Lepisosteus oculatus: one gene and its partner. The protein of the gene in region 1 interacts with the protein of each later gene in a biochemical or structural test. Links are inferred from orthologs where the notes say so. Each region holds a gene or a part of one and is shown in the gene's direction. Other genes may lie near its edges.

The links.
Region 2: of the proteins of limk2 (region 1) and rock1, one has a biochemical effect on the other in vitro, tested with the Homo sapiens proteins (2 studies listed by BioGRID). The link is inferred for Lepisosteus oculatus from reciprocal best matches to the Homo sapiens genes LIMK2 and ROCK1.

Annotation. Positions count from the first base shown.
Region 1 is NC_090717.1:6,600,628-6,608,257, forward strand, and holds the start of limk2 (LIM domain kinase 2), read left to right. Parts: upstream 1-2,630; 5' UTR 2,631-3,092; coding exon 3,093-3,108; intron 3,109-4,208; coding exon 4,209-4,305; intron 4,306-7,630. UniProt on the Homo sapiens protein: Serine/threonine-protein kinase that plays an essential role in the regulation of actin filament dynamics. Acts downstream of several Rho family GTPase signal transduction pathways.
Region 2 is NC_090701.1:57,292,681-57,300,310, reverse strand, and holds the start of rock1 (rho-associated protein kinase 1), read left to right. Parts: upstream 1-3,322; 5' UTR 3,323-4,287; coding exon 4,288-4,380; intron 4,381-7,630. UniProt on the Homo sapiens protein: Protein kinase which is a key regulator of the actin cytoskeleton and cell polarity.

The DNA of each region.
Region 1 (7,630 bases):
AAGTTAAGATTAACACTGAAACATTATTTGTCAATGAATTGACATTGACAAAGGTACCAGATATTTTTGGTACTTTAGTTTGTTTTCCCATTTCCATGTTGAAAATCCTATGTGAGAACCTTACTTCTGTTATGGAAAAACAAAACATTCATCCAAAACACCTTGTCTCAACAGTACCAAACAGGACCACGCTGTTTTTTAAAAACAAAATGGCTTTGTAAATAGTGCTTGTGGGCAGCACATATTTTAGATGTGCTCAAGGTGTACATATTACAGTGTCTGTACCATAATTTTTGAAACTGCTGTTTACGAATTATAGAATTATCTCTGGCTTACTTCAGCCTCATTGAATTTACCTGCATAGATGTTCTGAAAACAGTTCATAGCGTTTAGTCAGTAGAGGTAAGAAGAGATAGCACTGACAAAAACCTATTCTACTCATATCTATAATGCAATTTTTTTTGTTGAAACTTAAAAGCACTGTATCGGAGCTCGCTTAATACCCTTACCAGCAGGAAACTGAGAAAATCAGAGCAAACTGAATCAACTAAAACCAAGAGTGAAACTAAATTGCACATTGTGTACAGTGAAAAGAGAGGTTTTAAAGCACATTTTAAATATGCAGAGCTGCAAATTCCCTAATGGATTTGAGTAGGCAGGGCACTGCACACAAGAAGACCCTGTTGACCCTTGAGCAAAAAGAACTGAATCAGCAGACCACAGATTAAGAGTTTATCTGCTCTCGTGCAACAAGTTCTTAAGATAACCTAGATCCAGAACATTCAGTGTCTTATAAATATGTATACAAAAGACATTCAGCATGAGATCGATATTTTTTGTTTTGTGCTAGCAATGAATAACTCATCTGCCCCTTTTTTTTAAATGAAGAAGAAGCTGTAGTAAACAGTTCAATAATGAAATTTGCCCTTTCAATGTATTGAACTTAATACTTGTACCACTTAAATCCACAGAAATCACACATAAAGGAATTTTGTGATTGTGAAAGGGTTTACCTGCAAAATGTTGGCATAACCATCTTAAATATGATGGGGAATCTGAAGGTTTTTACTGAGCATCAACGAAGCTTCCCAAAAACAATTGTGCAATGATAGTATGTTATTTGAAAAATAAAAATATATGGATTTTGGATATTAAATGTCTTTGTTTCAATTTTTTTAATTGATCATTCGTGACTGACCACTAAATTTTCTTTGGTGCATCAACACTAAATCGTGTGCAAGCGATGAGGTGATTTAACCTGGTGAATGTCAGATCTATCTATAATGAAGACATTATCAAGAGAACAATGCCTTTATAGCTTGTGAATACCAAAGGCCAAACAAAGTCTGAGGTGTTCACAGGAACACTGGACTGCAGTTTCTAACCTAGTTAGACTTTATAGCCAAACTCGTTAAAGATGGACCATGATCTTGGAGACCATGAGTCGTAACACCTCACCATAATCAATGGGGTCCCAGTGTGATGGTCTGGGCAGGAGTGTCCTGTCGCTACACAACTGCAGTTTTAGTGAATGCCATTAACCAGAGTGCACAGTGCTGCTCGGATCTCGTCTTGGGACATCCCATTCTGTGACCTCTTCCAGAACATGACAACCGTCCGGCGCAACAACACCTACCCTCGTGCTGCTCGGGGAACAGCAGCTTTTTCTAAAAGGTAAGAGTGGGGCAGTTATGTGGCAGTGGATGCCCTACTGCCCGGTCTCGAGCTCCACTGCCAAGAGCTGGGATGACGTGTGGCATTTAGGGTAGACTGGCCCGTGAACAGGCACTTGTTTGTCCAAGCTGTAGGAGAGGAATCTGCCACAGAATCCCACAAGGCAGCATCTGCAGCCGATACAAAGCGTGAACCAGGACTGATTCACATGTGTTGCTAGCCTAAACTTTCACAGGAAAGCCCTGTTCATACGCGGGAGTTTCATAAACTAATGTCTTGTAATAAAATGTTGAGTGCACCCGCTGCAAAAAAAAAAAAAAGATTTCCATTTTTGTGATAAATTTGTGAATTTGTTGCAGGTACACAAGGCAGGCTTCTTTTCATGCTCAGCATAATTAAATTGTGAAATCAACTAGATGTCAGTGTTGCTCTAAGAAAGCAAAAGTGGGCCTCATTAATTTCAGTTAAGGCATCCAAATAATCTCCAAACGACGTTAAAATGATAAATGTATTATTTGACACTTCTACTCTGCTAAGATTGATCTAATTGCAGATATAGGTATAAATCTGACTTTTCTTTTCAGCTTTTTAGTTTTCTAATCAAGAGGACAACAAAACGAACTAAAAAGGCTTAAGAGAGATTTGTGCGCTGAGAGCTACTCAACGCGCATTAAATGATATCAAAGGACAACAGCAACGTCCTCGATGCACAGTTTTAGCATTAAGTATTGTTTTTAACAGATGTCTCGGGTGGGTAGATTTGATAGCGAGACGCACATAAATCACAAAGATAAGCCCTTTAATCTGCTTCACCTGTTTGACTTTCACCTGTACGGAATAAAACACCAACATACGCCACTATGGCATTTTAAAAATGCGTCCGTAAATATTTTCACATTCACATTTTTGGGGGGTGGGTAACGTAACTGCACATCACAGGCGAAGGGTGAGGGTTTCATGATCGGCGGGCACCTCGATAGGTTTTCCCACGCCAATGATGAACTAATGCGGACGGCATTAAAGAAGCTATTCCGATGTGCTGCTGCTTGCGTGTCCCTGTCGGCAGACGGGTCTGACTGCAGCCCATTGAGTGACTGGAGAGGACTTTTTTTTTTTGGCTAAACTCCTGCCCCAGGTGTTGCTGTTTGATCCCTACCGGTCTCCGTACTGGAATTTCAAGTGCATGACGTCACTCCCGCTGCCAACAAGAAAGTTCGCAAGTCCTGGGCAGAACTTTTTTTTTCCCTCCCTTAGAGAAAGAGGGGGGATTTAACTCCAAATTCGCGGTGTCTCAACTACGGCTAAATAAAGTCTTACGTAACGCTCTCCTGTGTGCCTTTTTCTAATGATAAGCGTACGGCCAGCCCCAGGGAACCATGGTAATATAGGCAAAAGCAAAGTCAACGAGCAAGGTTTAGATGGAGGATCGGCAAGGTAAGTAGCTCATTTGAACTCACTTAGCAAAAGGGTTTATGATGCGACAAAGTTTACATTCTTATCTTTGCGGCATTTGCCAGTAAATCCTAGTTAAATTCGCAATATATATATATAATCTTCACTGTTGCCCCGTTTATAGTGGAGTTAAAGTTAGGGGGGAGCATTTTCAAATTCCAGTATTAGCGAACCTGTTGTAACCTGAATACCAGCCTGCGAACACGCAACTTTCAGGTTTGGTGAGAGCTCCTCCGGTCGCAATTATTGTGTTTAGTTTGGGTTTCTTTCATGTTTTTAATCCAGCAGCCCGAGTGAGGCGATATGCTAAATGTGTTGAGCACCAAAGCTCGGGAAAGTGAAATGTGTGTGTGTACATATATATGTGTGAATTTCTTTCAATACACCGCTGAACCCTTTCCCCTTGAAGGTTTGTATTGATTCCAGTCAAAAGTTTAACACTTAAATGCACACTTCTGTGTCTAGGTTATGAACAGCTGGTGGTTCATTTTTTTAGGAAGGTGTGAAATATTCTGGAAGTGTTGGTGCGCACATTTTAAAAGGCGACGACTGCTTCTCCCCAGCCTGCGGGAAAAAGTCACAGCTCAGTCTGCAGTCGCTCAATTTTGATCCCTGTGCGTGTATAAATTAGCTGGTATTTCATAGCTTTTCTGTCTAAAAATAACTTGGACAAAAAAAGTCCCCCTAACTCAAACCATACTTCGGCTATGATCGTTTGGACACAGATCAATCCCGTAGGGTTACATAATGACACTTTAATGGCTCCTTTTAAAGCTGTTTTGCTTTTCTATTCAGACTGTTTTATCTAAATAAATACCTTTTAATTTTGTAAAAGTGCAAAAAAAACTGTTACAATTATTAAAAAATGCAGGGTTTTTTTTAAGGAGCTCCTTTTAAGTTCCAAAATCAAGTAGCGCAGTAAATCGCTGATTTATGCTGCGCTAAAAGGTCGGGGAGGACGGTTGCTTTTGTTACGAGTTCTTAAAGAAAACCAGTCGCTGCTGTGGTGCAAGTGGATGTTTGTGCCGTCCAAATGCGATGTTTTTTTTTTCTCACGCCTCACGACACTGTCTGGTCCTCAGGTGACGAGTCTTACCGTTGTGTGGGGTGTGGAAGCAGGATTCTGGACACTTTCTACATCAAAGTTCTCCAAGACGTTTGGCACAACTCCTGCTTTCAGTAAGTGCAAGAAGCTGCTGTGCGCAATTGTGACTGATGTTAAAATGCGCCTGGCTTAAAACTCACTGTTTGTCCTGTGCAACTGCAGTCTTCATTTGATTTCACTTTGACCAGTGGTTCAGAGATGCACCTTGACGTTTTGTTTTTGTTACATTATGAGCTGTAGCAAATAAAATAGTTTTTTTCCGATATCTACGGCTTTCGCAGTTTTTTTTTACTGATTTTTATTATTATTGTGGCAAACCTAGTCATTTTCTTTAGCCGGGCTAAAGCATGCACTGAGCTTTTTTTAGCGCTAGACAGCATATAAAGTCGAAATGTATTTGTACTTATTATATAGGTACAATATGTATTTAAACCGATACCTTTCTTCACACGCCTGTTTCAGTTTTTGAGTCTTTAGAGACTTCTCAGTGTCGTCTTACCGTCTCTTTCCTATGTTGACTTTAAAGCAGGTGAGCTGTCAGTGGTAATAATGAATAATAATTGCTTACACTTATATAGCGCTTTTCTGGACACTCCACTCAAAGCGCTTTACAGGTAATGGGGATCCCCTCCACCACCACCAATGTGCAGCATCCACCTGGATGATGCGACGGCAGCCATAGTGCAACAGTACGCTCACCACACATCAGCTATCAGTGGGGAGGAGAGCAGAGTAATGTAGCCAATTCATAGAAGGGGATTATTAGGAGGCCATGATTGGTAAAGGCCAATTGGAAATTTGGCCAGGACACCGGGGTTACACCCCTACTCTTTTCGAGAAACACCCTGGGATTTTTAATGACCACAGAGAGTCAGGACCTCGGTTTTACGTCTCATCCGAAGGACGGCACCTGTTTACAGTATAGTGTCCCCATCACTATACTGGGGCATTAGGACCCACATGGACCACAGTGTGAGCACCCCCTGCTGGCCCCACTAACACCTCTTCCAGCAGCAACCTTAGTTTTTCCCAGGAGGTCTCCCATCCAGGTACCGACCAGGCTCACACCTGCCTAGCTTCAGTGGGTTGCCAGTTGTGAGTTGCAGGGTGATATGGCTGCTGGCTGTATGCTGTAGTCATACATCTCCAGGGATTTGAATAGGAATTAACTTCTAGGATCTGTCAGTATTGTAGACAGGCATGTGATGCACGAATTTTAACTGTTCGTACTTCGGTGAATTCAGTGTTGTTAAGTCCTGGGATCTGTAGAGTGCATTTCATCACACAGGATACCAAAGCACTTCTAACTATAAGAGGGGATCTGCTTGAGTGATGTCTGGCACCAGAGTCCCCCATGCAATGAAGATCAGAAGGAGGAGGTAGTAAGTGTCCCACCAGCTGAATTATTGGGATATTTACTCAGATCGGATTGTGCTGTTGTAGAGTGGAATTTAGCCAGGACTACAGGTGATCAGTGCCATGGGATCTTAATTAATGACCCAGTCAGTTTGACATCTAAAGGGACACTGCTGTAGGAGCTGCTTTTACTTCACATCTCCTTACTGGGAGACTGATGTGGAAATTCGGATCCAGAGGGGAGTCACCCACTCTCATCCCGATACTGGCTGGACCCAGCCTCGCTCAGCTTCTGAGATCTGATGAGATCAGGCTACGAGGTGGTAACGCTGTTGCCTTTTATGAAACATTTCAGCAGTGTGACTTTATAAAATGAGAATTGTTGCGATCAGACGTTACACAAAGGGCTGTCACTATTGTGAGTGTGTTTTGCAGCGTCGAGTTCTTTGTGCTGACTAATTCTGAGCCTTCTTGTGTGCATGCCAGTATGGGTGGGGAGAAGCCTTTTGTTATAATTGAGTTTTATTTGAACAGCTCACAGATTGCATACTTAAGAAAATACTGTACATAGTTGTTACTGTAGCTGTAAAGAGTCACGTAAGCAGGTATCCCGTTCTTAAGATCCTATTGCACAGGGGAAGTGTTTTTTAATAAAATATACATTTTGCTTTGCATAAATCCTTCCAAAACTTTACTTACAATTTGTTTTCTTAGAAGAAAATCCATGGTGGTTTATAGTATAGAAGAATGACAATGTCTAAGTGCCAGGAACAATAGGGCAGTTGCAGTAACGTAATTTAATAAAACCGTATTGGGGCTGGAACACACTGCATGAGCAATCCAAGTTCCATGCAAACTTGATGAAATGATGTCAAAACAGTATGCAGGTAGTATGCATACAGGGTAATAATGTAAACACCCTGTAGGTATATATGCTTTGTTTGAAGTGAGTAATCGTAATTAGCAGGTTGCGGTACCAGTTTGGCCGTTCAAGACTTGAGTGCAGTCCAGTGGTGTTCAGGGAGAGCAGAGTGCTGCTTGAACAGGTGAGTCTCGAGCAGACTCTGAAAGGAGGTCAGGCCCTGGGCAGTTCTGCTCTCGGTTCATGGGATTACCTAGGAACAAGGGTGGAGAAGGAAGGAGCTCAGCAGGTAGGAGGGGAGTGGTGATACGGACAGGAGGAGTGGAGAGAGAGGGAGCAGGTATCGGCAGAGATAAGGGACTGAAGACAGGGCAGGAGCAGAATGGTTGATAGAGCTGAAAGTGAGAACTAATATTTGAATTGGTTGCCCACAGCAATAGAGAACCAGGGAAGGCACTGTTCCTATAAAGATCAGATATACGGAACTCAAAGCATGTCTTGCGTTTTTAAAGGAAAACATTTCTTGCTCTTCGTTTTCAATGAATTGTCATTGGAACTTATTTTTATTTAAGTCCATGTGGTTTCACATGTATCTTATATATATATATAGTGTACTTATCTATCTAGTAATCTGTGTGCATAATTGAAGCAGCCAGTGTAAAGGTCCAGTGGACCCTGTAGAACTGTTTCTGGAGCGATTATGGATTTTGCTGAGCAAAGGGGGTTTGTATCTGTGGTTTCCATGAAAGCTCCACCTTCTTTCATACAGCACATTCGAAATAAAAGATATACTGCATATGTAAATACATCAAATTAAAATAGATTGCACATGAGAGGAGTAAGCAGGTTCGAGTGTGCTTAAGGAGATAGCTAAGAAAGGGAGGATCTTATTGTAAATGTCTTTCTTACAGCTGTTCCTACTGCTTGTTTTCAAATACCCGATTCTGGTTAAACTTATGGAATTACTTCATTCAAACTCTCAAAAAAGGGGGAGTGGGGTACGCTGGTAAAAGTTAAGAACAAGTCGTCCCATTTATTACGGTGACCTCTTGTACACCCCAAGTCTGTTTTTTTCTGTTTTGGCAGAAACGTAACTAAGGGTTTGGCTTGGCTCTCTGGCCCCCTACAAACACCCCACACACACACAAAGAGGATTTTGCTATGCCTCGGGAATCTGTGTG
Region 2 (7,630 bases), on another chromosome or scaffold:
ATCCCATTCTGCTTCATTCTTCTCTGCTTTTCCGCGATAGGTAACCTTTGTTTTGAACACGTTTGTACAGCTTTAAAATATACTTTAAAGCACAAAATACGATGACCACATTTTCATGATGGTTCTCCCATCTGTGATGATCCTTCAAAGTCAGGATCAATACAGGTGTTCCCTCCTGTAGGCATTCTGACACACTGAGAAAGTGGCCATTAGCCACGTCTCGCATTTCAGTGTCCAGTGTTGATATCCTCAGTGCTTCTTCTCCATCTACAATAGAAAATTAAAATCGTACAAGATTCACACTTACGCTTCCTCCTTTACGCTAACATTCCTGATTTCGTGATACTGAGCATCAAAAGATGCATCGCGCACAACCGAAACAAGTCAGCATGTCTTTGTAGCAGGTACGCTGATTTTCATCCACAGGGCGGTCCGCAGGGAGTCCACTGCGTAAGGCTTTTGCACCAGGTGCAGACACGCCGTCGTGTCGAGACCCTCCGCCATGCCTGTCATAGAGGCTGCCTGTGTCCTCTTCTCCCCCTCCTTCACGTGCTGAGCAGCTCAGGCCAGCGAGAGCGGCAGCCGCCCGAGCAGCTTGAGCAGGAGGCCCGCTGTCAGGCCAGGACGAGCCCGTGCTCTCAAGACGCCACCTGTCCCTACAAGAGGGGAAGCAGCTGAGAGCTCCTGCCACACCGTCACACCTGCGCTCTGCATGGCTGTGTCACGGCCACACAGAATCAGAGACCCTTCCCATCCCCACACACGCCGTCACATCGACTGATCATCCAATCACACCTGTCAGTCACCTCCACACCCCCTGGGCTCGTGACCATCACCACGGTTTACCAGTGGAGCTCCTGGTTCTCGTCCTCGACACTTCCTGACTGCTGTTAACCTTCTGAACCTCCGGCTTCGTCCAAGACTACGATTCCTGGTCCTGAGACTTGGTTAAGTACACCTGGCCTCCCCTAATCCTGTTCCTTCCTTGTTGTCCAGTTCCGCATAGGGTCCAATTCTACCTTTGTTTTGGCCTGCTATCCGTAACACTCTGCACTCAACGACGGCTCGCCCGCCCGAGAGCCCACCTGCTTTCTGCTGTGAGCACTGGACTCTGGTGTGGTTATCTTGCCGGCAAACAATCTTAATGAAAAATCCTGGTGACCATAAATATATGTAAAAGAAATGGCTGTTTGTGAACACATCACACAGCATGTGACAGTGTGCCGACTTCCAGCCTCAACACACCAGCGGCATAAAGGCACTGCTCTCGTAAGAGGTGGGGCAGCTGTAAGTCCTTTCTGCGTTGTGATCAAGTGTTTCATGCAGTAGTACACAGTCTGAATCAGTGGTTCTCTCACCAGAATCCTAACCCAGCAGAAAAAAGGGCCGAACAATGGTTTGCTCTTCAGATGTACACTAATTCAGTGAATGTGTTTGAGCCATAAATCGGTATAGAAAAGAACTATCAAGGCAAAAGTGTGAATTTGTTGTAATTTTGGAAAGGCTGAATGAGGCTTTTCATGATTTCACACCTGGAATGTCCTGATGTACAAACCATGATCAACGCAGTAGAGAGCACAGGAGAAGAAATAGGGTGTTCCTAGGGTTAGGGTTCAAATTTCTAGAAAAGCTTGAACAAAAAGAAGATGATCTTTTTCTTTAAATGGGCCAAGTTAATCAAGTTTCAATGTCTTTAAGGACACAACTGGAAAAGTTTGATAAAGTGTTTTGTGGTAGTAGCACAAAGACTTATACAGTACCCAATGGCACTAACGGGAAATAGTCAAAGAAGTAAAAAATGTCCAGGGTGTGTGTAACTGTGTGTGTCCTGTGATGGACTGGTGTCCTGTCCAGGGTGTGTGTGTGTGTCCTGTGATGGACTGGTGTCCTGTCCAGGGTGTGTGTGTGTGTCCTGTGATGGACTGGTGTCCTGTCCAGAGTGTGTGTGTCCTGTGATGGACTGGCGTCCTGTCCAGGGTGTGTGTGTGTGTGTCCTGTGATGGACTGGTGTCATGTCCAGGGTGTGTGAGTGTGTGTGTCTGTGTGTGTCCTGTGATGGACTGGCGTCCTGTCCAGGGTGTGTGTGTGTGTGTCCTGCGATGGACTGTTGTACCCTGCTTTTTGCCTGTTGTTTGCTGGGATAGACTCCAGCTCCCCTGTGAGCCTGGACTGGAAGAAGTAGTTAGGAAATGGGAGGATGGATGAACAATTCATGTTGTTGTGACTGGTGTTTGGACGTCTGTCTGCGATGGTGGTATCCTGCTGGGGCTGGACAAGGGGACACAGCACCTGGTGTCCCTGATAACACAAGGACTGCGGGACGCGGGGGACACTCTCATCTGGGGGAGAGGATCCCTGCGGATCTCAGAGGCAGGATGAAGCACGGTGCCGCCGAGTGGGGATCTCCGCGGCGAGGGGCGCTGGGAGGGACTGTGGGCCCCTGAGCTCCGGCTCCGCAGGTCCAGAGCCGGGACAGGGAAACGACACGGACAACAGCAAGGGGTCGGCCTGGAGGGACTCTTTCACTGCGCGAATCCAGCCCCATCCTCCACTTGCACGGATTGACAACGGACAAGCACCTCACTCGGAAAGTTTTAATTTGTTGACAGTTTGATTATTAATGATCTATTGAGATCATTAATAACTGTAAAACTAATGGTTACGAATAGAGTTTCTCTTACCACACACACGAATTCTTACCAGGCTAAAGCGAGTGTTTTATGAAAGGTGATGGATAGCCTTTTATAAAATCCCATTTGGAACCTCTTATCTTCCGTTTCAGGGCAGTTCAGTTTGTCATATGCACAAGGGCATTGAATTGTTTGTGGATCCCCAGAGTACCCATGAAAAATATTTTTCAGCCGATAACGTTATCTTCCTCACCCTTTCCTCTGTTCAGCTCTGCCTCAGCCCTGTGATTCCTTCCTAGCACATTCAACAAGCCAGATAATCATTTTTCATTCACAGTGACGAGCTGGAGACCCAGCATGTACAGCATAGCATCTACTGGAGCAATTCCTGAGCGCCCTAGCTACTCACAGCAACGACAGCCGGCGTCCCAGCTACCACACCCAAGGTTCAGGGACCCTAACCTCCGCATTTCTGCCACACACATTTTGCAGTTGCATTTTCACCGTAGTTTGATATTTCACCGAAACAGGTTTGTAAAAGACGACTGTAACAGCGCGGCCCGGCGGACAGGCAAGGGGCCGCGCTCCCGACGCGCGGCCCCGACGGCCGGGCACGGGCACGGGCACGGGCCGTCCCGAGCGCGCCCCCCCCCCCCACGCCATTGGCGCCTGCGCAGTGGCGCGCGAGCTCGAGCTTTTGCCTCTCCGGCTGTTTGAACAGGAAGGCGGACATGTTTGTCAGAGAGGCAGGGAAAGTCGGGCACTTTTTGCAGTTCGAAAAATAACAACGACTCTCGGGAGCCGGATCGCCCTTTCTCGGAAGCCTCGGGATCCAGCATGCCGGCCCTGGCGACACCCCTGGGCCGCGGAGCTTGAGCGCTGTTCGGCGAGGTGACCCCCGGAGCGACATGTTTCATCGGGGCCGTGTTGTAAAACCGAGCACGGTTTTCAGGGGCTGAAGTTTTTTTTTTTACTACTTTTTTTTGTCCTCTCTCTCCTTCCCCCCCCCCTCCCCACCGCACCCCCCACCCACCAAGTCAGTTCTACTTTTGCAGCTGTCAGACACGCTCGGATTTAAAAAAACAAACAAGCAAGGCAGAAAACAACAGCCAAAGAAAAAGTTCTCGCTGCCTCCAGGGCCCCTCCGACCCAGCTGTGCCAGGCCGTGAGTGCGGTATCTTGTGTGAATCATGCTAACTGCCTCTTCTCATCCTGCTGCGGCTCTCGCTGTTTCTGGGGGGAGTGGGAGCGAAATGACCGTGCTCCGCGTCTGGAGGCTGTAGCCCTGAGGGCGAAACTCGGGGACCAGAGAGGGCGAGAGATCCGTTGCGGCGTGTTTTGATTTTATTTCATTTTATTATTATTATTATTTTTTAAAAGAAGTGAAGTTGTCAGCCCAGCTCGGAGCTCGGAGCAGCAGGAGAGCTGACCGGCTCAGACAGTTTTCTCTCTTAAGATGTGGCTTTGGACCCGCCGGGCACTGGCTGAAGGTTTCTCCGACTGTGAGCGGCTGGCTCGCCTCTTGAAGCGGGTCTGACCGGCTGCGGACCCGACCCGACCCGGCCCGACCCCAGGGAGGCAGGCTTTGCACGCCGTGCCCCAGAGGACAAGGGAGAGAGAGAGAGAGAAAAAAAAAAACCCAGAACTGACAGCAAAAATGTCCGCTGGAGAGAGCTTGGAGGCTCGGTTTGAAAAGATCGATGCCATGCTCAAGGATCCCAAATCGGAAGTTAATACCGATTGCCTGCTGGTGAGTGTCCGGGATGTGTGTGTGTGTGTCTTGTCTGTGTTGGGGTTTTCCCCCCTCTCTGTCTCTCTCGTTTCAAATGATACTGCAAAAAAAGTAGTAATAATAATAATGAATTGCACGGGTGTGTTCGGTTCTGTTTAGTGATCGCATTTTAATGAGCTCGCTGCCCAGTTGCCGGGGGGGGTGGGGGTGGGGGTTAGACATTAAAAACTCGACTGTGCGGAGTTAAAACCACGTAGCTCCTCCGTGTCACGCAATGGTGTGTGCGACTGAACAGCACTGGCGTTTTCTTCTCTGACATAACTTCTGTGTTATGCGTTTCTGGTGTTCACAGTCCTGCTCGCCGCTGAGACCCGATGTCTGGTGCTCGCCTGGAAATGTGCTTTTTTTTTACTGTTGTTGCACGACTTAGACACTTCAGAAGCGTCGGCTAACGTAGTCATTCACACTCCCACACAGGGGGAAAAAAAACCCCTCTCTCTCTGAGAGCATTTTAACCTACAAGCAAGCTGTGTGCAGTTCCTGTTGTCGGACTGAGATTCCCTAAGCTGGTGATAAATCGTCAATCGGAAATTATTTAAATAAAGAGAACCCCCCCCCCCAAAAAAAAAAACACCCCAGCACACTGTCATGCGGTAGGCGAGACCGTGTTTTGCCAGCCTGTTGCTCCTGTCACACGGACACCGTGGGCAGCTCACACTCACAGGGACGTGTCCAGCCGGGCCCTGCACGGCGAGAGCGCCACTCGGACCACGGGGACACGGGTGGCGGTGATCCAGTGGGCCCGGATACCGCTTTGCCCGTTACAGCATAGTTCAGTGCTGCTGCCTTGCGGGGTGACCGTCACCACCCGAGGCCCCGGCGCACAGCCGCCCCCGGCTGGAGTGGCTGGGCAGGGTGGCCGAGTCGGTGCTCCTTCCTGTACGACAGCTGAACCGCCGTTAAGTACGTGGTGGTGTTGGTTTTTTTGCAGTTACAGTTGAGCCGGGTCGTAACTTTGTTTGCCGCTCAATGCTTGTTTGACGGTAGCTGTCAAACGAGCCAGCGACTCACGAGTTAAGGGGGAACTTCTGTTGCTTGGAAAGTGATTTTTTTTAGGGGCCTGTTCAATATTAGGGTAGGGATAATTGTCATGAGCCAGTGGGCCGTTTTTTTCCCATTTTTCCTCACACCAGGGCCAGTTTTCCCAGAAGCCAGTTAACCCACAAGTGTGTTTCTGGACTGTGGGAGGAAACCCACACAAACACGGGGAGAACATGCAGACTCCACACAGACAGCACCCCGGGAACAGAACCCAGGGCCCCAGCCCTGCGAGTCCGCAGTGCTGGCCACCGGGCTGCCCGATTCCTGGTCCACTCATTGAGAACATTCCGGCCTGTTCTGTCCTCCGCTCAGTGAGGTGGGGCTGATGGGAAGATTGTCAGTGCCTCCTTTCCCCTTTGTCCTGCCTAAGTTCCAGTGTCTGTAATAGCGATTCACTTCTTAGACAGACTCTTCAAGCTTCCAGCGATATACTCATGGAAAATGGCATTTAAGCTGCACGTTGAGGGTGTGTGTCAGGTTTCATTAACAGATTCGTCTGGAAAGTTCCAGGATTGCCTGTCTGATCTCCCCCTTTTTTTTCCATCCTCGGTTTGGCCTAAAATATTCCAAAATCCTAATTCGCACGAGGGCAGTCCATGAGTTCTGAGAGCCCCGGCTAGTCGAATTCCTCGCGCTCACTCCTGAGTGAATCGGGGTTCGTCTTGCCGAAGGTGCGCGTGTGTGCGCGAGAGGCGTCATTCATGGGAGAAGCCATGCTCCAGAAGGAAAATCTCGGCGTCGGCTCCTACAAGAGCTGTCGGAGATGGTGTGAGCCGCCGAGCCCCGAGATGCAGAAGCAGAGCTGGGTGCGAGATTGTCGAAATGGCTCGTATGGCTAGGAAGTCAACAGAAACAGGATCTTTCTCATCCGCTCTGGTGGAGGTCCTGCAAATAACACTCGGCTGTGGAGGAGGATGGCGCTGGGGGGAAATTCAGATTTTTTTAATCTGTGGCAGCGAGTCCACTCTTCAGTTTTGAGTTCAAGCGGAACAGTCGACGCAGGTCCCCCCTTGTTGCATGTCAGCGTGCCAGCGTAATTATCGCGACACACGCACCCCAGCAGCATCAGCAGCTCTCCAGGGCTGAGGGCCTGTTGGGGGGCCCGCTGGCACCCCGATTAATCCCACACAGCGTTTTGTTATGCCATAAGTCATATCTGGTATTTGTTGTCTGAAAGCATTCCAGGATTCTCAATGTGTTGATTGCAGTGTACTGTTCGCATGACTTGATTTCATCTTTTAAAAGAGAGATCGTGATGATGTTTGCAGGCAGGATGTAAAGGTGACCTAATTTTGGGGGTGATCTTGGATTCTTGTCAGTTCTTCTCAGTTGACCAGTCGTATGTAGAAGCTTCCTGTTGGCCAGTCATTACCTTGTATTACTGTGTGTTATGTCTTCCCTGTAAGAAGCAAAAGGTGGCTTATAATCAGTCCTCAGATGTGGAGTTATTCTGTCTGTTACTCTTGGTGGCATTGGTACTTGTGTAACAAGCACCTGTGCACTCAGAGGGAGAAACAAGGGGTTTTGCTCAGTTTAGGGGTGCCTGAGATATTTGCTCACACTTTCCTGGGTAGTGTTCGCTCACTGCAGGAGATGCTGCCAAAAACCAATCCAGAGCTTCAACAAAGGGCTTGAATGCGAAGACTAGGGCTCCGTAATGAATCGGTGGTGTATTTCATGGCCTCTTTCCTTGTTTTATTCAGAAACAGCTGAAGGAGAAGCTCAAACATGTCTGCTTTTTTAAAAAGGGGGCTTTTCAGGGTCTCTGTAAGGCTCTTACATCCTGCCTTTCAGTATAAACCTCTGAATCTTCAAGGTAGAGGGATTTTTGCAGAATTCTGTCTGATTTTGCGAGAGGCGTGACGTGCCCTTTCCAATGGTTATACATGTAGGAATGAAACACCATCCCTTCAGTACTCCTTTCAGAGGGCAGTTCTGAAATCACAAAGAAACTGTCAGTATTTGATTGAAAGCCGCCAGCATCTTCATCTGATCTTCAAGTGTGTCGTGAAGGGTCCCACACCGACTCCTTTGGGTGGTGTAGTAAGGGTTTAAGAATGGTTACAATGGGAGGAGGCCGTTCAGTCCATCCTCCTCATCTGGCTGTTGGTATGTTAATCCAAGCACCTCCTCGAAACTACCTGAACGCTCCCGGTGACACTGCATG